2 linked regions of the Stegostoma tigrinum genome follow. The main gene of each other region encodes a partner of the protein of the gene in region 2 in a complex. Links are inferred from orthologs where the notes say so. Each region holds a gene or a part of one and is shown on either strand. Other genes may lie near its edges.

Region 1 (8,268 bases), on a different chromosome or scaffold from region 2:
GCCCGTTGCCCCCATCCCCAGGGGGTAGGGGTCCCGGGTTTGGAAGGTGCTGACTGGGGGGAGTCGCTGTGAATGGTACACACTGCTGCGACTGAGCATCGGCTGGGGCGGGGGGGGAGTGGGGGCTTGTGGACACGGTGCCAATCCAGGGAGGGCGAGGGGGGCTGCTTTGCCCCCAGATGGGGTCAAGCTTCTCCAGTGTTTGTCAGAGCTGCCCCCACCCAGGGCAAGTGGCGGGGGGGGGGGGGGTGCATTCCCTCACACTCCTGCCTTGTTAATGGTGGGACAGGGGAGTTGGGACGGGAGTCACTGGCTGCAGGATTCCCAGCCTCTGACCTGCTTTGGTAGCCCCCGGTATCGATATGGGGCAATGGTATCGATATCTGAGCAATGGTAACCCCCAGTGTGGTGATACTGAGGCAGGGAGTGGGAAAAGAGACTAGAGTGATGTTAACACCACTGAATGCCGGAGGGGGGGGCACAATGGTTAGATTCTCCCTCAGTGGTGACCCCTGGATGTTGACAGTAGGGTATTCAGCGATGGTGGTTACAATGACTGACTTATATTGGAGGCTGGGAAAGAGAGATTTTCAAACCAGGGAGGGAACCGGGGCGGGGGGGTGGGGGGTATGGAGGAAAGGGCAGGAAATTGGGAGATGGGGATGACCAAGATCAGCCATCGAAGGGTGGATGGACTCGATGGGCTGAGCGGCGCACAACTGCTCCTACATCACATCGTCTCATCGCTACAAAGCTGCTAGTGAACGCAACATGGACCGAGGACCACACAGAGGAGCCCTCACAAGCAAACGCTAACAACCCCCACCCAGCTCCATCGCTCCCGACGCCCCGGCCCACCGCACTGCCCCCTCCGCCCACCCGCCGACGCTCCCCCCCCCACCAACCCCCCGGCCCACCTCACCCCCAGCCACCTCCGCCCAAACACCCTTCCAGCCCCGCAACCCACCCACCATCTGCACAACCCCGTCACCTACCCACCCCCAGCCCGCTCACCTTCGCCTGCAGCATCCCGAATCCCACGGTCTCCTTTGCGTACATGCACAGCAGCAGGTTGGCCACACGGGTGATCGCCACCCTGCCTTCCTGAAACGGAAAGAGAGAGACACACGGGGGGTCAGAGAGGGCAAGACACGCACGCACACAGGGGTGGGGTACGCAGGGCTGCCCACACCCTCGAACAAGGGGGATTTAGCATGGACGTACAGAGGGTGAACAGGCTCAAAGTGGGCAATGCCCAAAAGCACGCATGGAACCCCCCTCCCTGAGAAAGGAGGTGGTCGGTTTTGCACCCCCCGCCGCCCCAATCCTCGCGGCTCTCACTTGACCCAGTCTGTTGCAAGCCAGCCCCTTGCCGGACGGGATATTCAGCTACGGACGGATTCGTGGCGCAGGACCAGATCCCCCACAAGCGATGCCACTCTTCTTGTGGGGGGGGGGGGGGGGGGGGGGAAGAGTGACCATGTCAGTGCTGAAAGGGAACAGTGAGCCTCCCCTCACCACCCGCCCCCAGCAGCCCCACACCATGCAGTCCATGAGGATGAATCGTAGCTTGTCCTCGTTGAAGGCCTGGTGCCCGTTCTTGGCGTAGGCAGCCCAGATGTTGCTGGCGATCGCTGCAGTCACCCGGGCATCTGTGTCTCCGTACCCCGAATACGCGAGGAGGGAGCCCTCGTTGTTCAACAACCTGTGGGGGGGGGGGGGGGGGTCATGGTTACTGTTAGCCGGTACATACCCCTCCCCAAATGTCACCCCTGCACAGACATCCAACCAGCACCCCCCCCCCCCCCCCCGGAATCCCACCCCGCTCCCCTCTTCACCACCCCCCCCATCCGTCTGTATACCAACACCCGCTCACAGGCTCCAATCTCCTCCCTAAACACCACCTCCCCACCCACAGAGGGTTTCACCCCCACCATAACACCACCCACTCCTCCGCTCCTGCCCCCAACTCACAGAAGCCTTCTTCCAAATGCCTCCCCCCCCACCACGGGGTCTCCAGCCCCCGCCACCCCCCACTCACTGCCCCCACGGGGTCTCCAGCCCCCGCCACCCCCCACTCACTGCCCCCACGGGGTCTCCAGCCCCCGTCACCCCCCACTCACTGCCCCCACGGGGTCTCCAGCCCCCGCCACCCCCCACTCACTGCCCCCCACGGGGTCTCCAGCCCCCGCCCCCACTCCCCCCACTCACTGCCCCCACGGGGTCTCCAGCCCCCGCCACCCCCCACTCACTGCCCCCACGGGGTCTCCAGCCCCCGCCCCCACTCCCACCACACACTGCCCCCACGGGGTCTCCAGCCCCCGCCCCCACTCCCCCCACTCACTGCCCCCACGGGGTCTCCAGCCCCCGCCCCCACTCCCACCACACACTGCCCCCACGGGGTCTCCAGCCCCCGCCCCCACTCCCACCACACACTGCCCCCACGGGGTCTCCAGCCCCCGCCCCCACTCCCACCACACACTGCCCCCACGGGGTCTCCAGCCCCCGCCCCCACTCCCCCCACTCACTGCCCCCACGGGGTCTCCAGCCCCCACCACCCCCCACTCACTGCCCCCACGGGGTCTCCAGCCCCCGTCACCCCCCCACTCACTGCCCCCACGGGGTCTCCAGCCCCCCGTCACCCCCCACTCACTGCCCCCACGGGGTCTCCAGCCCCCGCCCCCACTCCCACCACACACTGCCCCCACGGGGTCTCCAGCCCCCACCCTCCATAACACACTGGGGCCACGCCTCCCAAGGTCTCTCCCTGACTCCCCCAGGCCCTCCCTCCGCCCTCGCCGCAGCCCCCTCACTCACAGGGTGCTCTGGACCCCCGCGGTGTTGGCCTGGCTCAGGACCTGGGTCAGGGCTTTGGGCCTCAACATCTTCGGGAGTCGCCGGAAGTCCACAGTGACCGGAAACAGCCGTGCACTCTGGGATCTGTAGTTCCAAATCCCGCCGCCTACAGCCCGTGATCTCACTCTCACGTGGTCCTGCCCCCCCAACCCCTTCCGCCGGAACATGCATCTCTGCGCATATTTTAACCACGACCGCCTCCTTTGGGAGTTTTAATCGGTGAGCGTTATTTTCCGGAATATAAGGCAATCATCTGCGGCGAAGGTTAAAAAAAAATTCTCCCGCCGCCATCTTGGTAAGGAGAACGCGGGCGCTATGCCGTCGCCATATTTGTAAGGGAGATCTCGTCGAAGCTGCCCAAGGAGACGCCTTGTCGCCGCCATATTGGCAATGGGGTACCCATCCAGACGTTCCCATTGCTTCGGAAATAGCTGAAGCCACCCTGTTCACCATATTTGTAAAGGGGAAACAATCGGCTAAGACGGAAGTGCGGCTTTGTCACCATCTTGGTAAAGGAGAATTGTCTAATCAGGTTTTATTGTGCTGTAATGGTAGTTTTCCTACCCCTGGACAGGGAGGCCCGGGCTCAGGTCCCACCTGCTCGGAAAAAACAATACATTAACCATCAGCCTTTAAACAGACAACAAAACAGAACGGACACCACGGTGCTAACATTTACAGCTGCAACAGATGACAGAAGCTTGGCAATGTCCCCTGAATTTCTGTAGCGCCATGCATAACCTGCAGAATTGTTAAAGCACAAGAGGATGCCATTAAGCCCATTCCATTTCTGAATGAGTGCTCCCCCTGCGAGCTTCTACTTATTGCCATGTATGTTCTTCCATTTCAGATGGTGATCCTACTCCCACTTTCTGATTACCAATAGTCTTCGATTCCGTGCCCACTAGTCCAATCTCTCTGCGAATGGGAACAATTTCTCCCTCTCCGTTCCATTCCTGACCCCTAATGGTTTCCAAAGTTTTGGTAAAATCTCCTCCCTGACTTCTCTTCTGCAAGAAAACAGTCCTAGCATCTCTGATCTATTCACAACACTGAAATCCATCATCCCTGGAACCAATCCTGCAAATCCTTGCCTGTATGCTCTGGTGCCTTCTTAAAATGTGATGCCCACAACTGGACATTATTTCAGCTAAAGCTAACTTAGCATTCCACGCAATTTTAACATGATTTGCTTTGGAACCAAATTAAGAGGAAATGACAGGAATAGGCCATTCAACTGCTCAAGCCTGCTCTGCTATTCAATGGGATCAAGGTTAATCTAACATTCCTCACATCCACATTGCTGTATTTTCCCTGTAAGTTTTGATTTCCTGACTGATCAAGAAATCCAATCTATCTGAGCCTTAAATATACAGGAGGAGTCTGGCCCCTCTCTGCAGCAAAGAGTTCCAAAGACTCTCAAACACCTCCTCTCAGAAAAGAAATTCCTCCTCACTTCAGTCTTAAACTTATTCTAAGACTATGACCTAAGGTCCTAGACTCTCCCATGAGGAGAGTCCCCGGTGAGCCCCTTCGGAGTCCTATATGTTTCAATGAGATTATTTCTCATTCTTCTAAACTCCACTTAGTAGAGTCCCAACCTGTTTAATCCTTGCTCAAAAGACAATCCCTCCATACCTTGGATCACCTCAAACTTCTCTAAACTTCTTCCAATGAAACTATCTTTATCTAAATAAGGGGACTTAAACTGCTAACAGCACTCCAGATGTGATTTCCCCAGTGCCTAGCATAGTTGCAAATAAGACTTCTCTACTATGATACTCCAACCCTCTTGAAATAAGGGCCAACATCTCACTAGCCCTTCCTGACTACATGTGGTTAGCTTGCTATGTTTCCTGCAGTTTGTTGCAGCTTTCTGCAGCTTCTCTCCGGTTGAGTAATATTGTGTTCTTTTGTTCTCTCTTCCAAAATGAACAACTTCATATTTTCACTTGGTATAATCTATTTGCCAAATTTTTATCAATATTTCTCTGTAAACTGTAAAGAGTCACAGAGTTGTACAGCACAGAAAGAGACCCTTCAGTCCAACTTATCCACGCCAACATAATCCAGCCCCAGATTATAAAATGTGAGGCTGGATGAACACAGCAAGCCAAGCAGCATCTCAGGAGCACAAAAGCTGACGTTTCGGGCCTAGACCCTTTATCAGAGAGGGGGATGGGGTGAGGGTTCTGGAATAAATAGGGAGAGAGGGGGAGGCGGACCGAAGATGGAGAGTAAAGAAGATAGGTGGAGAGGAGAGTATAGGTGGGGAGGTAGGGAGGGGATAGGTCAGTCCAGGGAAGACGGACAGGTCAAGGAGGTGGGATGAGGTTAGTAGGTAGATGGGGGTGCGGCTAGGGGTGGGAGGAAGGGATGGGTGAGAGGAAGAACAGGTTAGGGAGGCAGAGACAGGTTGGACTGGTTTTGGGATGCAGTGGGTGGAGGGTAAGAGCTGGGCTGGTTGTGTAGTGCAGTGGGGGGAGGGGATGAACTGGGCTGGTTTAGGGATGCGGTGGGGGAAGGGGAAATTTTGAAGCTGGTGAAGTCGAGACATTAACCGCCTCTACCTCTCCACCCCCTCACCCACTCCAACCTCTCCCCTGCAGAACGGACAGCCCTCCGCTCCCTCCGCTCCAAACCCAACCTCACCATCAAACCCGCAGACAAGGGTAGCGCAGTGGTAGTATGGCGCACTGACCTCTACATCGCCGAGGCCACACGCCAACTCTCCGACACCACCTCCTACCGCCCCCTCGATCATGACCCCACACCCGAGCACCAAACCATCATCTCCAACACCATTCATGACCTCATCACCTCAGGGGACCTCCCACCCACAGCCTCCAACCTCATCGTTCCCCAACCCCGCACGGCCCGTTTCTATCTCCTTCCCAAAATCCACAAACCTGCCTGCCCTGGTCGACCCATCGTCTCCGCCTGCTCCTGCCCCACCGAACTCATCTCCACCTATCTGGACTCCATTTTCTCCCATTGGTCCAGGAACTCCCTACCTATGTCCGTGACACCACCCACGCCCTCCACCTCCTCCAGGACTTCCAATTCCCTGGCCCCCAACACCTCATTTTCACCATGGACGTCCAGTCCCTATACACCTGCATTCCGCATGCAGATGGCCTCAAGGCCCTCCGCTTCTTCCTGTCTCGCAGGCCCAACCAGTCCCCCTCCACAGACACCCTCATCTGCCTAGCTAAACTCGTCCTCACCCTCAACAACTTCTCTTTCGACTCCTCCCACTTCCTACAGACAAAGGGGGTGGCCATGGGCACCCGCATGGGCCCCAGCTATGCCTGCCTCTTTGTAGGTTACGTGGAACAGTCCCTCTTCCGCACCTACACAGGCCCCAAACCCCACCTCTTCCTCCGGTACATTGATGACTGTATCGGCGCCGCCTCTTGCTCCCCAGAGGAGCTCGATCAGTTCATCCACTTCACCAACACCTTCCACCCCAACCTCAAGTTCACCTGGGCCATCTCCAGCACATCCCTCACCTTCCTGGATCTCTCAGTCTCCATCTCAGGCAACCAGCTTGTAACTGATGTCCATTTCAAGCCACCGACTCCCACAGCTAACTAGAATACACCTCCTCCCACCCACCCTCCTGCAAAAATTCCATTCCCTATTCCCAATTCCTCCGCCTCCGCCGCATCTGCTCCCACGATGAAGCATTCCACTCCCGCACATCCCAGATGTCCAAGTTCTTCAAGGACCACAACTTTCCCCCCACAGTGATCGAGAACGCCCTTGACCACGTCTCCCATATTTCCCGCAACACATCTCTCACACCCCGCCCCCGCCACAACCGCCCAAAGAGGATCCCCCTCGTTCTCACACACCACCCCACCAACCTCCGGATACAACGCATCATCCTCCAACACTTCCGCCATTTACAATCCGACCCCACCACCCAAGACAATTTTCCATCCCCACACCTGTCTGCTTTCCGGAGAGACCACTCTCTCCGTGACTCCCTTGTTCGCTCCACACTGCCCTCCAACCCCACCACACCCGGCACCGTCCCCTGCAACTGCAGGAAATGCTACACTTGCCCCCACACCTCCTCCCTCACCCCCATCCCAGGCCCCAAGATGACTTTCCACATTAAGCAGAGGTTCACCAGCACATCTGCCAATGTGGTATACTGTATCCACTGTACCTGGTGTGGCTTCCTTTACATTGGGGAAACCAAGCGGAGGCTTGGGGACCGCTTTGCAGAACACCTCCGCTCAGTTCGCAACAAACAACTGCACCTCCCAGTCGCAAACCATTTCCACTCCCCCTCCCATTCTCTTGATGACATGTCCATCATGGGCCTCCTGCAGTGCCACAATGATGCCACCCGAAGGTTGCAGGAACAGCAACTCATATTCCGCTTGGGAACCCTGCAGCCCAATGGTATCAATGTGGACTTCACCAGCTTCAAAATCTCCCCTTCCCCCACCGCATCCCAAAACCAGCCCAGTTCATCCCCTCCCCCCACTGCATCACACAACCAGCCCAGCTCTTTCCCTCCACCCACTGCATCCCAAAACCAGCCCAGCCTGTCTCTGCCTCCCTAACCTGTTCTTCCTCTCACCCATCCCTTCCTCCCACCCCAAGCCGCACCTCCATCTCCTACCTACTAACCTCATCCTGCCTCCTTGACCTGTCCGTCTTCCCTGGACTGACCTATCCCCTCCCTACCTCCCCACCTATACTCTCTCCACCTATCTTCTTTCTCTCCATCTTCGGTCCGCCTCCCCCTCTCTCCCTATTTATTCCAGTTCCCTCTCCCCATCCCCCTCTCTGATGAAGGGTCTAGGCCCGAAATGTCAGCTTTTGTGCTCCTGAGATGCTGCTTGGCCTGCTGTGTTCATCCAGCCTCACATTTTATTATCTTGGATTCTCCAGCATCTGCAGTTCCCATTATCACTCATAATCTAGCCCCATTTGCCTGCATTTGGCCCATAGTCCTCTAACCCATTCCTACTCATGTCCCCATCCATATGCCGTTTAAATGCTGGAACTGTACCAGCCCCCACCCACTTCCTCCTTCCATGCACGCACCACCCTCTGTGTGAATAAGTTACCCCTCGGGTCCCTTTCCCCTCTCACCTTAACCCTATGCCCCTCTAGCTTTGGACTCCCCCCTGCCCTTGGGGGAAAAGACCTTGTCTATCCCCCCTACCCATGCCCCTCATGGGTTTATAAACCTCTATAAGGTACCCCCATCAGCCTCCGACGCTCCGGGGAAAACAGCCCCAGCCTCTCCCTGTAGCTCAAACCCTCCAACATCCCTGTAAATCTTTCCTGACCCTTTCACAACATCCTTTCTGTAGCAGGGAGACCGGGATTGGACGCAGTATTCCCAAAGCGGCCCTAACCAATGCCCTGTACAGCCCCAACATGACC
Region 2 (10,349 bases):
TGCCAATTTTCCAAAAGATGCACCAAGATTTCTTCAGAGAGAATGATCCACTGGCTCGTCTGGAAGAAATGAAGATTGCCTACTATTCCACTTTTAAAGATATTTACAACGAGAAAGATCAGAGTCAGAAAAGGGCTCCAGCTCTGTGGAGCGACTGCCTTCTGCCAGATCTTCACAATGCCATTGACAAAAAGCTTGGTGTGGAGATTGTTGAGGGCGTAAAAGCCAGCTGCACAAACCACGAAATGAGCAGCAGAGCTTATCTCCAAGCTGTGATTCTACTGGACTTGCTGGAAGAGCACTGTGTGGAAAATTACACATAATACATTGAAGACTATGAGGATTTTGCAAGACAGTGGATCAGGAAAAGAATAATAAAGAATTACAGAGAAGCAACTAAAATTATGGAGATCGTCGCAAAAATAATCCGAGCACTTATACAAAAGATAAAAGATGCCATAAAACAAGCAGTAAGTGGAAAGAATCAATTGTGACAGTGAAGGAGAGCGTATCAGAATTTTTAACAGAATTTTGTGATATTTTGAAGAATGATTTTGTGATTAACAAGGGGAATTTGCAAATTGTACTCTTTCAGAATGCTAACACAGCCAGCGAGTTTGCAGCTGATGTCACTGCAGCCCTGGATGATGTCGAGCAGAAACTCATATCAGACTTTCACAAGAATTGCAACATCGAAGAAATTCTGCCACGTCTGCCAGTGCAGCTGGATGAAGAGATCTTCCGTCAAGTTCTTGGCTGCGGGAAGATGTGCCGGTTCTGCGGAGTGTCTTGTGAACAAGGAGGCTCGGGACACAAGGAGCATTTTGCTGCAACACATCGGCCTGAGGGACTAAATAGGTTTCGCCATATTACCAGCAAAAAGCTGGTGGCGACAGTGTGTAATTCTGCAATAGCATCCGATGCTTCATTCCGCTGTGCAGCAACACAATATGAGTTCCATCCATACAAAGGCTACCGCAGCGTAAATGATTATTTTGCTTCCTGGAATATTCCACCTGACACAAGTATCCAAGCATCAGCCTACTGGAAATACGTCCTGTCTACTTTTAATACAGAGTTTTCAGAAGCTTACAAGGCCAAAAAAGCTGACATTCCTGTAGACTGGAAAAATATAAAAAAGGAAACTGTAAGAGCAGAAATTGAGAAAACATACAATATGTTTAGGGTAAAAGAACTGAAATAGTTAGAAACACAGGATGGTCACACGTCCACTTTTAATACCATTAAAAGTATTAACTCCAGTTTTACATGAGGATTCTCATCGTTACTCAGGATTAAATGAGTTAATGAATTACAAAATCACGAAGCAAAGAATTTCAAGGTTGCATGAAGAATGCCAGTGAACTGAACTGTCTAGTCTCCTACAAAAGAGACAGTTGCCAATCTAGGGAGGGATAATGTACTGGTCAATGTTGTCTGAGTGGCTACAGTTTGCTTTAAATATATTTCTTAGATTGTAGTTGAAGTAGCCAGACTAGAAACAATGATTAAATTAGGATAGATTGCAGTAAGTGGAAAGAATCAATTGTCATATTTCTGAACTCTTATTGTATTATCCTACAACACGTGAACATATTCAATAAAGTTTGTTATGCGTTAATTTGTGTCCTGATTAGCTCCTTTTTCTGAGACAACAAGGTGTAGAGCTGGATGAACACAGCAGGCCAAGCAGCATCAGAGGAGCAGGAAGGCTGACATTTCGGGCCTCGACCCTTCTTCAGAAATGCTTTTCTGAAGAAGGGTCTAGGCCTGAAACGTCAGCCTTCCTGCTCCTCTGATGCTGCTTGGCCTGCTGTGTTCATCCAGCTCTACACCTTGTTATCTCAGATTCTCCAGCATCTGCAGTTCCGACTATCTCTCTAGCTCCTCTTTCTGTCCTGTTTGCTTAACGCATTCCTTCTGTTACAAAAATAACTCACAGCTACAATTTAACTACAATTGTTGGGATGTTGTAGACAAGCATGTCCACCCATAATTGCCCTCAAAGTGGTGGCAGTCTGATTACTGAGGGTGAGGTACAGAGAAGAGTTACGAATATGCTGCCAGAAATGAAGAATTTATTTGAGGAAAGACTGGATGAACACAAGAAGTATTCTTACGTATATAGAAATAATATATAAGCATTACATACTGTGTTAAAGTTGATACATTAAATATGAACATAAAAACAACTCACTGATTGATATCTACAGTTAAATTGCTGGATAGTTTTAACCATATCCTTGCTTTTATGCACTTGTTTTCTTTGGACAGAAGAGGCTGAGAGTTGATTTAATTGAGGTGCATAACATTATTTAGATTTATTTAATATTGTCACACTTACCTACAGTGGAAAGTGTTGTTTTGCAAGTTATCCACAACATGTCACCACTCTGCAGTGCCATCTCGGATCTGTTTGCATTGCATGCTTTTACTGCAATAGCTTTGGTATTTTTAGGTTCAGCTGTTCATCTTCTCATTTGGCTCTCCTTCTTCTTTCTCTTTCTCAGCTGCTCCTACAGTTCCTGCTACTTTAACATTGGCTGGGGTCTTGGTAATGGGCTTCTCCACCATATCTGAGTGCTGCTGAGGTCCTGGTTCTGGGCACATCTTCTGCCACTGCTCATGCGGCATATCCGAGCTGGAATGGGTCATGGGCCTGGTGCTACACAGGGCCCTGCCTCTTGCAGAAGGATGTGACCCCAAGGCAACCAAAGAGGGGAGAACAGTGGAGATTGGGAGATAAAAGGAAAGAGACATAATAAAAAAAGGGCCTACTTCCCTTAGCAGACCTGTCAAGAATCCAGAGCTGTAGCAATTTGTTAGATTGGAGAAGAGTTGAGAAGATATTTACCCAGAAAAGTGTGGATATGGAACTCTCCATCTAAAAGTTCTGTAGTGAGGCATAAATTCACTTTGCATTTAAAATAAAATCTTTTTGGATGCGCACTTGAAGCGCTATACGCTACACAGCTATGCTGACAGGGCTGGTAAGAGAAATTAGGCTGGGTGATCCATCTTGGTTGGCACACAGATGATGGGCCATATGGAATCAGTCTGCTCAGTAAAACTCTTGTTTGTGCCTGTCTTTTTGAAATGTCACAGCCCAAGTCATGAAAGTATTCTAGCTACTGCTGAGTTTTGGCGAGTTGCCTGAAGTGCATATTGTAGATGGTATACACACATTGCAGTGGTGGAGGATGTCGATGCTTAATGAGTGTTAATCAGCAGGCTGCTGGTGCTGATAAGAGAGCTTGTACAGAAGCACCTCTCTCTAGAGAAAATGATACTTCACTCCATTTTTGTCTTGTGCATTGGCAGGTCAGTAGCTGAACCTGCAAATTACCACACCTGATCCAGTCTAGCAGCCACATCACATATCTGCCTGATGCAGCAAAGTTTCTTGTGCAGGGTAATCACAGTTTCTTTCCAGTAAATAATAGTAGTGCCATTTAAACATTATGAGTGGAAGGGGTTGGGGTGGGGTGGAGAATGGGCTAAGACAGTATTGGTTATGATTTAGTGTGATTCTGGGGGAACAAAGCAGGCCAGGCAGCATCAGAGGAGCAGGAAAGCTGACATTTTGGGTCGGGACCCTTCTTCAGAAATGGGGTATTTCAAGAAAGGGGTCCTGATCTGAAATGTCAGTTTTCCTGCACTTCTGAGGCTGCCTGGCCTGCTGTGCTCCTCCAGCTCCACACTGTGTTATCTCCAGCATCAGCAATTCTTACTATCTCTCTTGGTTATGAGCTCAATTGGTAGAATCAGCCTGAAAACTTACAGGACATGAATGTAATTTGTCGCTTATCAGGCCAAACATAGATGGTGTCTTTTTCTGCATTAAGGGAAAGAGTGTGTCTTAGGAATGCATTCATGCATGCACTGTTTCGTTAACAAAGGGACTGCAAATGATGCTTTCCAGGCTGCACGAAGGGACTCCTGCTGAAAAGTCTTGGGCTTGAGATCATGATTAGAAATCACAACTATGTTAGACGGAAAGAAAATAGGAGCAAGGGTAGGCTATTTGACCCGTCAAGTCTGCTGTGCCGTTCCTTATGATCACCCAGTGCCCTGTTCTCGCTCTTTCCTGTCCCCCTACCCTTCGTGTCTCCCTGTGTTCTCCGCAGCCACGTAACTTGTACCACTTCAAGTGTGCACCCAGAAGGATTTTATTTCAAATGCGACGTGAGTTTCTGCCTCACGACAGAACTGGTAGGAAGAAGTAGGTATCAACGCTTTTCGGATGGCTTGTGTAGGCGTTCTTCCTCGGCTTTGCGCAGCCCCAGGGTGTGTTTCTTGCGGCTGGCTTTGAACGGGGTTTTTGATGCGGCCCTGTTTGTGGGCACTTTGGGGACGATTGCTACTGTACTTGAGGGCCCTGTCTGTGCCGGTGACCTTCCTGTGTCCATTGGCCTGGGGTTCGCCGTTGGCCTGACGGTTGACCACTGTGCCTGGGAAGGGGGTTCTGTTATTGTTCTGCTCCTCCTCCTTGGTGAATTATATGCCGGCGAGGATGTTGTTTATGGGTTTTCCTCCAGTTTAGAGCGTTTAATAACGACAAAGGTGTCGTCCACACATGGTTTTGGATGGTCGTCCGCTCCACTCGACGCCTTACGGCTTCCGCTATTCACCCTGATACCGGTGATCCCATGGGTTATTCGGTTGATTTGTCCCTGTACCTTGCCGTGGAGCAAATTACTTCACGACGACAAAATTAATCAAGAGAAATAAATCTAAATGGATGTCATGGAAGAGACTGAGGGAACTCAAGCCGATCACATCAGGAGGGCGGGGCCGACCGAAGGGAGACTGACGGCCGGACGGTCCAACCAGAGTGTTGCGGGCCTATCGGTATTCACCAATCGGACGAAGGCAACGCTCTGATTGACGTCCCATCCAACCAAACGGACGGCCACAGGGGCCTTTTGACCAATTGGCTTGGAGGATAGCGGAGGTGGGAAGGGGGGTGGAACGCCCTCGCGGCTAGCGGTTGGGGACGAGGAGGGCGGGGACATGCGCGAAGTGGGAAGGGCGCGCGAGATCAGAAGGCGGGGAGGAGGACGAGTTCCGTTCAATCAATGACGAGAGCGCTGGCGGCTGCATGTCATGTGATATACGGAAGCGGCGTGACGTTGGATCATAGGAGACGGTGATAGCCGGAACCATGGACCAATAGAGGAGACCTACAGTCCAAAGGACGGGGACGAGAAGTAGGCGGGTTATTTGACAGATGATGGACGGCTGTGTCGATCAATCAGCGGTTAGGATGGTCGATACTGTCCAATCGCCTGTGACGGACAGATTTGGGGGTTGTACCCAGGTCATGTGGGACTGTACGTGGTGTGGGTGGGACGCCGGCTCAGTGATGATAGATGGCTATGCTGACCAATCGAAATGAACGGCGTAGCGAAGCCGTCCAATCACCCAGGTCGCGGTGGGTCGTATATGATAATTTGGTTGACTGACAGAGGAACAGACCAATCAGAAACCGTCGACTCCCGGCATAAGCGAACGAGGAACGGTGGGGGTGTGGGAATCTGAGTGTCATGTGACGCGGGCTTTAACCGACGGGCGGAGGCTGAAGACGTGCCCGGGCTCTGTCTCGATGGTGAGTACGAGCTTGTTGGGTAGCGGGGTGGTTTAAAAAAAAACACACACAACATCCACCCGATTCGTGGTGTACACTTTCTCCCGGGGGTGGCTGGAAGCCGTTAACCGCCTGTCACCTGTCATTCCCCGGGTGACTGGGCCCGGGAGGTCACAGGTCACGGCCATTGGCCATTTCCCCCTGTTTTAAAACTAGGACGGGCCCTGGTCTAAAAATAACCCAAACCGCTTGAATTCAAACATTGCAATTTGTCATTTGCACCGCATGGAATCGTTTGCATTGCATTGAACGCGCTGATGATATTCAGCATTTGCTTGCACGCTTTGGGTGGGCGATAGTCAACTGTTTACAAACGAGGGAGGGAGGCAGCTGAAGAGGCGAGATACTTCCATTCTTGAGATGGCGTCTGCCCTGGAGATTCCTGTGGACAAGTTGGGGCGCTATTTCTGGCACCAAACAGTCCATGAATCCAGGCTTGAGGGGCCGAGGGGCCGAATGGCCTGCCCCACCCCCCTCCCTTGTTTCCTATAATCCTAAAATCTTAGGGTATGCCACCACCCTCCTTTCTCACCTTCCCACCCACTTTCTTTTTGTCTGCAGTGTTCAGTGTGTGGCCTTCTGTTGTTGACTTATACATTCAGCAGGTGCCAATCTCTGAAAGTTCCTGCCTCAGAGTAGGTGTGAGGTTGGATTGGGGTGGGATTAGTGTACAGGTAAGAGTGCGGAGATAGTAGGAATTGCTGATGCTGGAGAATTTGAGATAACACGGTGTGGAGCTGGATGGACACTGCAGGCCAAGCTGACGTTTCGGGTCGGGGCCCTTCTTCAACGATTCCATGCGGTGCAAATGACATGGAGAGTGTGGAGAAAGATCAACTCAAATATTGGAGAGGTCTTAAGTCTGATAACAGTGGGGAAGAAGCTGTTCTTTTAAATCTGTTCGTACAAAATTTGTTCTATCTTCTGCCTGATGGAAGAGAGTATAACCAGAGTGGGAGGGGTCATTATGTGGGTTGCTCTCCCGAGGAATTGGAATGTGTGGATGGAGTCAATGGATGGAAGGCTGCCTTGTGTGATGGACTGGACTGTGTTCACAACTCTGTCATTTTTCTTTTGCGGTCTTGGGCAGAGCTGTGATGCATCCAGATAGAATGTTTTCTCTTTTGCATGGGCTGTGGGGTGGGGAGACCTAAGTTTGGTCAGTGATGAGTTAGGTTTAAGTTTTTAATAGCTGTTAGCAGGAATTGGAACAGATTTTTAATCCTCCTAGTTCTTAAAATCAAATCCTGGGTAACTTTTTTAACCTTGAGTAAATCTCAACCTTCTGACTTCTTCAGTGAGCTCTTTCAAAGGGTTCCAAATTGGGAAAATCTGGTTTTCTAGGCAATTCCCACAGAGCCAGGTGCATCTGGGATTTTTGCACAGTCCTAACCTGCAGCTCCAGTCTATGTTGCTGTAGCAAGCATTTGGACATGGGACTACCTGTGTCAGAGAGAACAATAGCAGGTGTAGATTTCCAGGGGTTGGGAGAAAGATGTGACAGCAGTTGATGAGGAATTTTTTTTGTTTAACCTACTATGTGGTGAGAATCTGTAAACTGCTGTCTGTTAGGCTGGTCTAGGCAGAAAGCCTCATCACGTTTCTAAGAGATACTAGAATGTACACCTGAAGCAGCACAACCTGCAAGACTACAGACTGAAAGACTGTGAGATTGGCGATGACTTCTAAATGTTCCCTCAACTCTTTGACCACTCTTTTGGTCATTCGGTTAACATCCCCTCTGTTAGCTTGGTGAAAGACAGCGCTTTATAAAGCGTTATGAAGCACCATGAGATGTTTTATCGAACTCTGAAACAGTTACAACATAGAAAGAGGCCTTTCAGCCCATTGCATCTGTGCTGGGTCTTGCCCAGACACCTCCCCTCCCTTGTCTTTTTCCCCGTGAACCTGCATTATTTGCCCTGTCCTCTTTGAAAGCCGCGACGCTGCCAGGTACCACGTTCCCAATCCCAACAACTTGCTGCGTTTTTACGAAAGAAAGTTTCCTTTCCTTTCCTTTCCTACATCGCTCGTCCTTTTCCCAGTCTCTCTCGGTCTCCATCTGACAGAGAATGTGAGGAAATATAGGAGCAGGAGCAGGAGAATGGGCTGAATGGCATCAAGCACTGCTATTCACCTCAATCTTGGCTGAATCTCCACCTCAACCGATTTCCCGACACTATCCCAGTAAATAAAGTTATAAGAAACAGGAGCAGGACTGGGCCGTCAGGCCCCTCAAACCTGCCCTGCCATTCGATTAAAATCATGGCTGATCTTTTCGTGGACTTACTTGCCCGCTCACCATAACGCTTAATTCCTTTACTGTTTAAAACTCTTAATTTTTGCCTTAAAAACATTCAACCATGTACCCTCAACTACTTCTCTGGGCAGGGAATTCCACAGATTCACAACCCTTTGGGTGAAGAAGTTGCTCCTGACCTCAGTCCTAAATCTGCTTCCCCCATTATTTTGAGACCATGCCCCACACGTTCTAGTTTCACCTGCCCAGTGGAAACAACCTCCCCACTTCTATGTCATCTATTCCCTTCATAACTTTATACGTTTCTGTCAGATCCCCCTCGTTCTTTTAAATTCCAATAAGTACAGTCCCAGTCTAATCAATCTCTTCTCATAAGACACAGGAGTGGAAGTAAGACCATTCGGCCCGTCAAGTCCACTCCACCATTTAAATCATGGCTGATGGGCATTTCAACTCCACTTCCCTGCACTCTCCCCGTAGCCCTTGATTCCTTCTGAGATCAAGAATTTGTCGATCTCTGCCTTGAAGGCATCCAATGTCCCGGCCTCCACTGCACTCCGTGGCAATGAATTCCACAAGCCCACCACACTCTGGCTGAAGAAATGTCGTCTCATTTCAGTTTTAAATTTACCCCCTCTAATTTTAAGGCTGTGCCCATGGGTCCTAGTCTCCCCGCCTAACGGAAACAACTTCCTAGCGTCCACCCCTTCTAAACCATACATTATCTTGTAAGTTCTATTAGATCTCCCCTCAACCTTCCAAACTCTAATGAGTACAATCCCAGGATCCTTAGCCGTTCATCATATGTTAAACCTACCATTCCAGGGATCATCCGTGTGAATCTCTGTTGGACACGCACCAGGGCTAGTATGTCCTTCCTGAGGTGTGGGGCCCAAAATTGGACACAGTATTCTAAATGGGGCCTAACTAGAGCCTTACAAAGCCTGAGAAGCACATCGCTGCTTTTATATTCCAACCCTCTTGAGATAAACGACAACATTATAGTCGCTTTCTTAATCACGGACTCTACCTGCAAGTTAACCTTTAGAGAATCCTGGACCAACACTCCCAGATCCCTTTGTACTTGTGCTTTGTGAATTTTCTCACCGTTTAGAAAATAGTCCATGCCTGTATTCTTTTTTCCAAAGTGCAAAACCTCGCATTTACTCACATTGAATTTCATCAGCCATTTCCTGGACCACTGTCCTAAACTGTCTAAATCTTTCTGCAGCCTCCCCACCTCCTCAGTACTACCTGCCTGTCCACCTATCTTCGTATCATCAGCAAACTTCGCCAGAATGCCCCCAGTCCCTTCATCCAGATCATTAATGTATAAGGTGAACAGCTGCGGCCCCAACACTGAACCCTGCGGGACAACACTCGTCACCGGTTGCCATTCCATTCAAGAGCCTTTTATCCCCAACACTCTGCCTTCTGTCAGACAGCCAATCCTCAATCCAAGCCGGTAGCTCACCTTGAACACCACGGGCCCTCACCTTGCTCAGCAGCCTCCCGTGAGGCACTGTATCAAAGGCCTTTTGGAAGTCTAGATAGATAACGTGGGTTTCCCTGGTCTAACATACTTGTTACCTCTTCAAAGAATTCTAACAGGTTTGTCAGGCACGACCTCCCCTTACTAAATCCATGCTGACTTGTTCTAATCTGACACTGCACTTCCAGGAATTTAGAAATCTCATCCTTAGCAGTGGATTCTAGAATTTTACCAACTACCGAGGTTAGGCTAATCGGCCTATAATTTTCCATCTTTTGCCTTGATCCTTTCTTAAACAAGGGGGTTACAACAGCAATTTTCCAATCATCTGGGACTTTCCCTGACTCCAGTGACTTTTGAAAGATCACATCCAAAGCCTCTGCTATTTCCTCAGCCACCTCCCTCAGAACTCTAGGATGTAGCCCATCGGGGCCAGGAGATTTATCAATTTTTAGACCTTTTAGCTTTTCTAGCATTTTCTCTTTTGTAATGCCTACTGTACCCAACTCTGCCCCCTGGCTCTCCCTAATTGTTGGCATACTACTCATGTCTTCCACTGTGAATTCTGACGCAAAGTACTTAAGTTCTTCAGCTATTTCCTTATCTCCCATCACTAGCCTTCCAGCATCAATTTGGAGCGGCCCAATGTCTACTTTTGCCTCTTGTTTGTTTCTTATGTATTGAAAGAAGCTTTGACTATCATTTCTAATATTACTAGCTAGCCTACCTTCATATTTGATCCTCTCCTTCCTTATTGCTCTCCTTGTTATCCTCTGTCTGTTTTTGCAGCCTTCCCAATCTTCTGATTTCCTAGTGCTCTTGGCCACTTTATAGGCTGTCTCTTTTTCTTTGATATATTTCCTGACTTCCTTTGTCAGCCATGGCTGTCTAATCCCACTGCGGATAATCTTTCTTTTTCTTTGGGATGAACCTCTGTATTGTGTCCTCAA

Evidence for each region.
Region 1: lamtor4 (region 2) and lamtor2 share a complex: the UniProt entries of both Homo sapiens proteins name them as parts of the ragulator complex. The link is inferred for Stegostoma tigrinum from reciprocal best matches to the Homo sapiens genes LAMTOR4 and LAMTOR2.

The regions. Positions count from the first base shown.
Region 1 is NC_081400.1:6,456,346-6,464,613, forward strand, and holds lamtor2 (ragulator complex protein LAMTOR2), read right to left. Parts: upstream 2,941-8,268; 5' UTR 2,886-2,940; coding exon 2,818-2,885; intron 1,706-2,817; coding exon 1,543-1,705; intron 1,105-1,542; coding exon 1,015-1,104; intron 415-1,014; coding exon 307-414; downstream 1-306. UniProt on the Homo sapiens protein: As part of the Ragulator complex it is involved in amino acid sensing and activation of mTORC1, a signaling complex promoting cell growth in response to growth factors, energy levels, and amino acids.
Region 2 is NC_081398.1:4,437,997-4,448,345, reverse strand, and holds the start of lamtor4 (ragulator complex protein LAMTOR4), read left to right. Parts: upstream 1-5,479; 5' UTR 5,480-5,605; coding exon 5,606-5,608; intron 5,609-10,349. UniProt on the Homo sapiens protein: As part of the Ragulator complex it is involved in amino acid sensing and activation of mTORC1, a signaling complex promoting cell growth in response to growth factors, energy levels, and amino acids.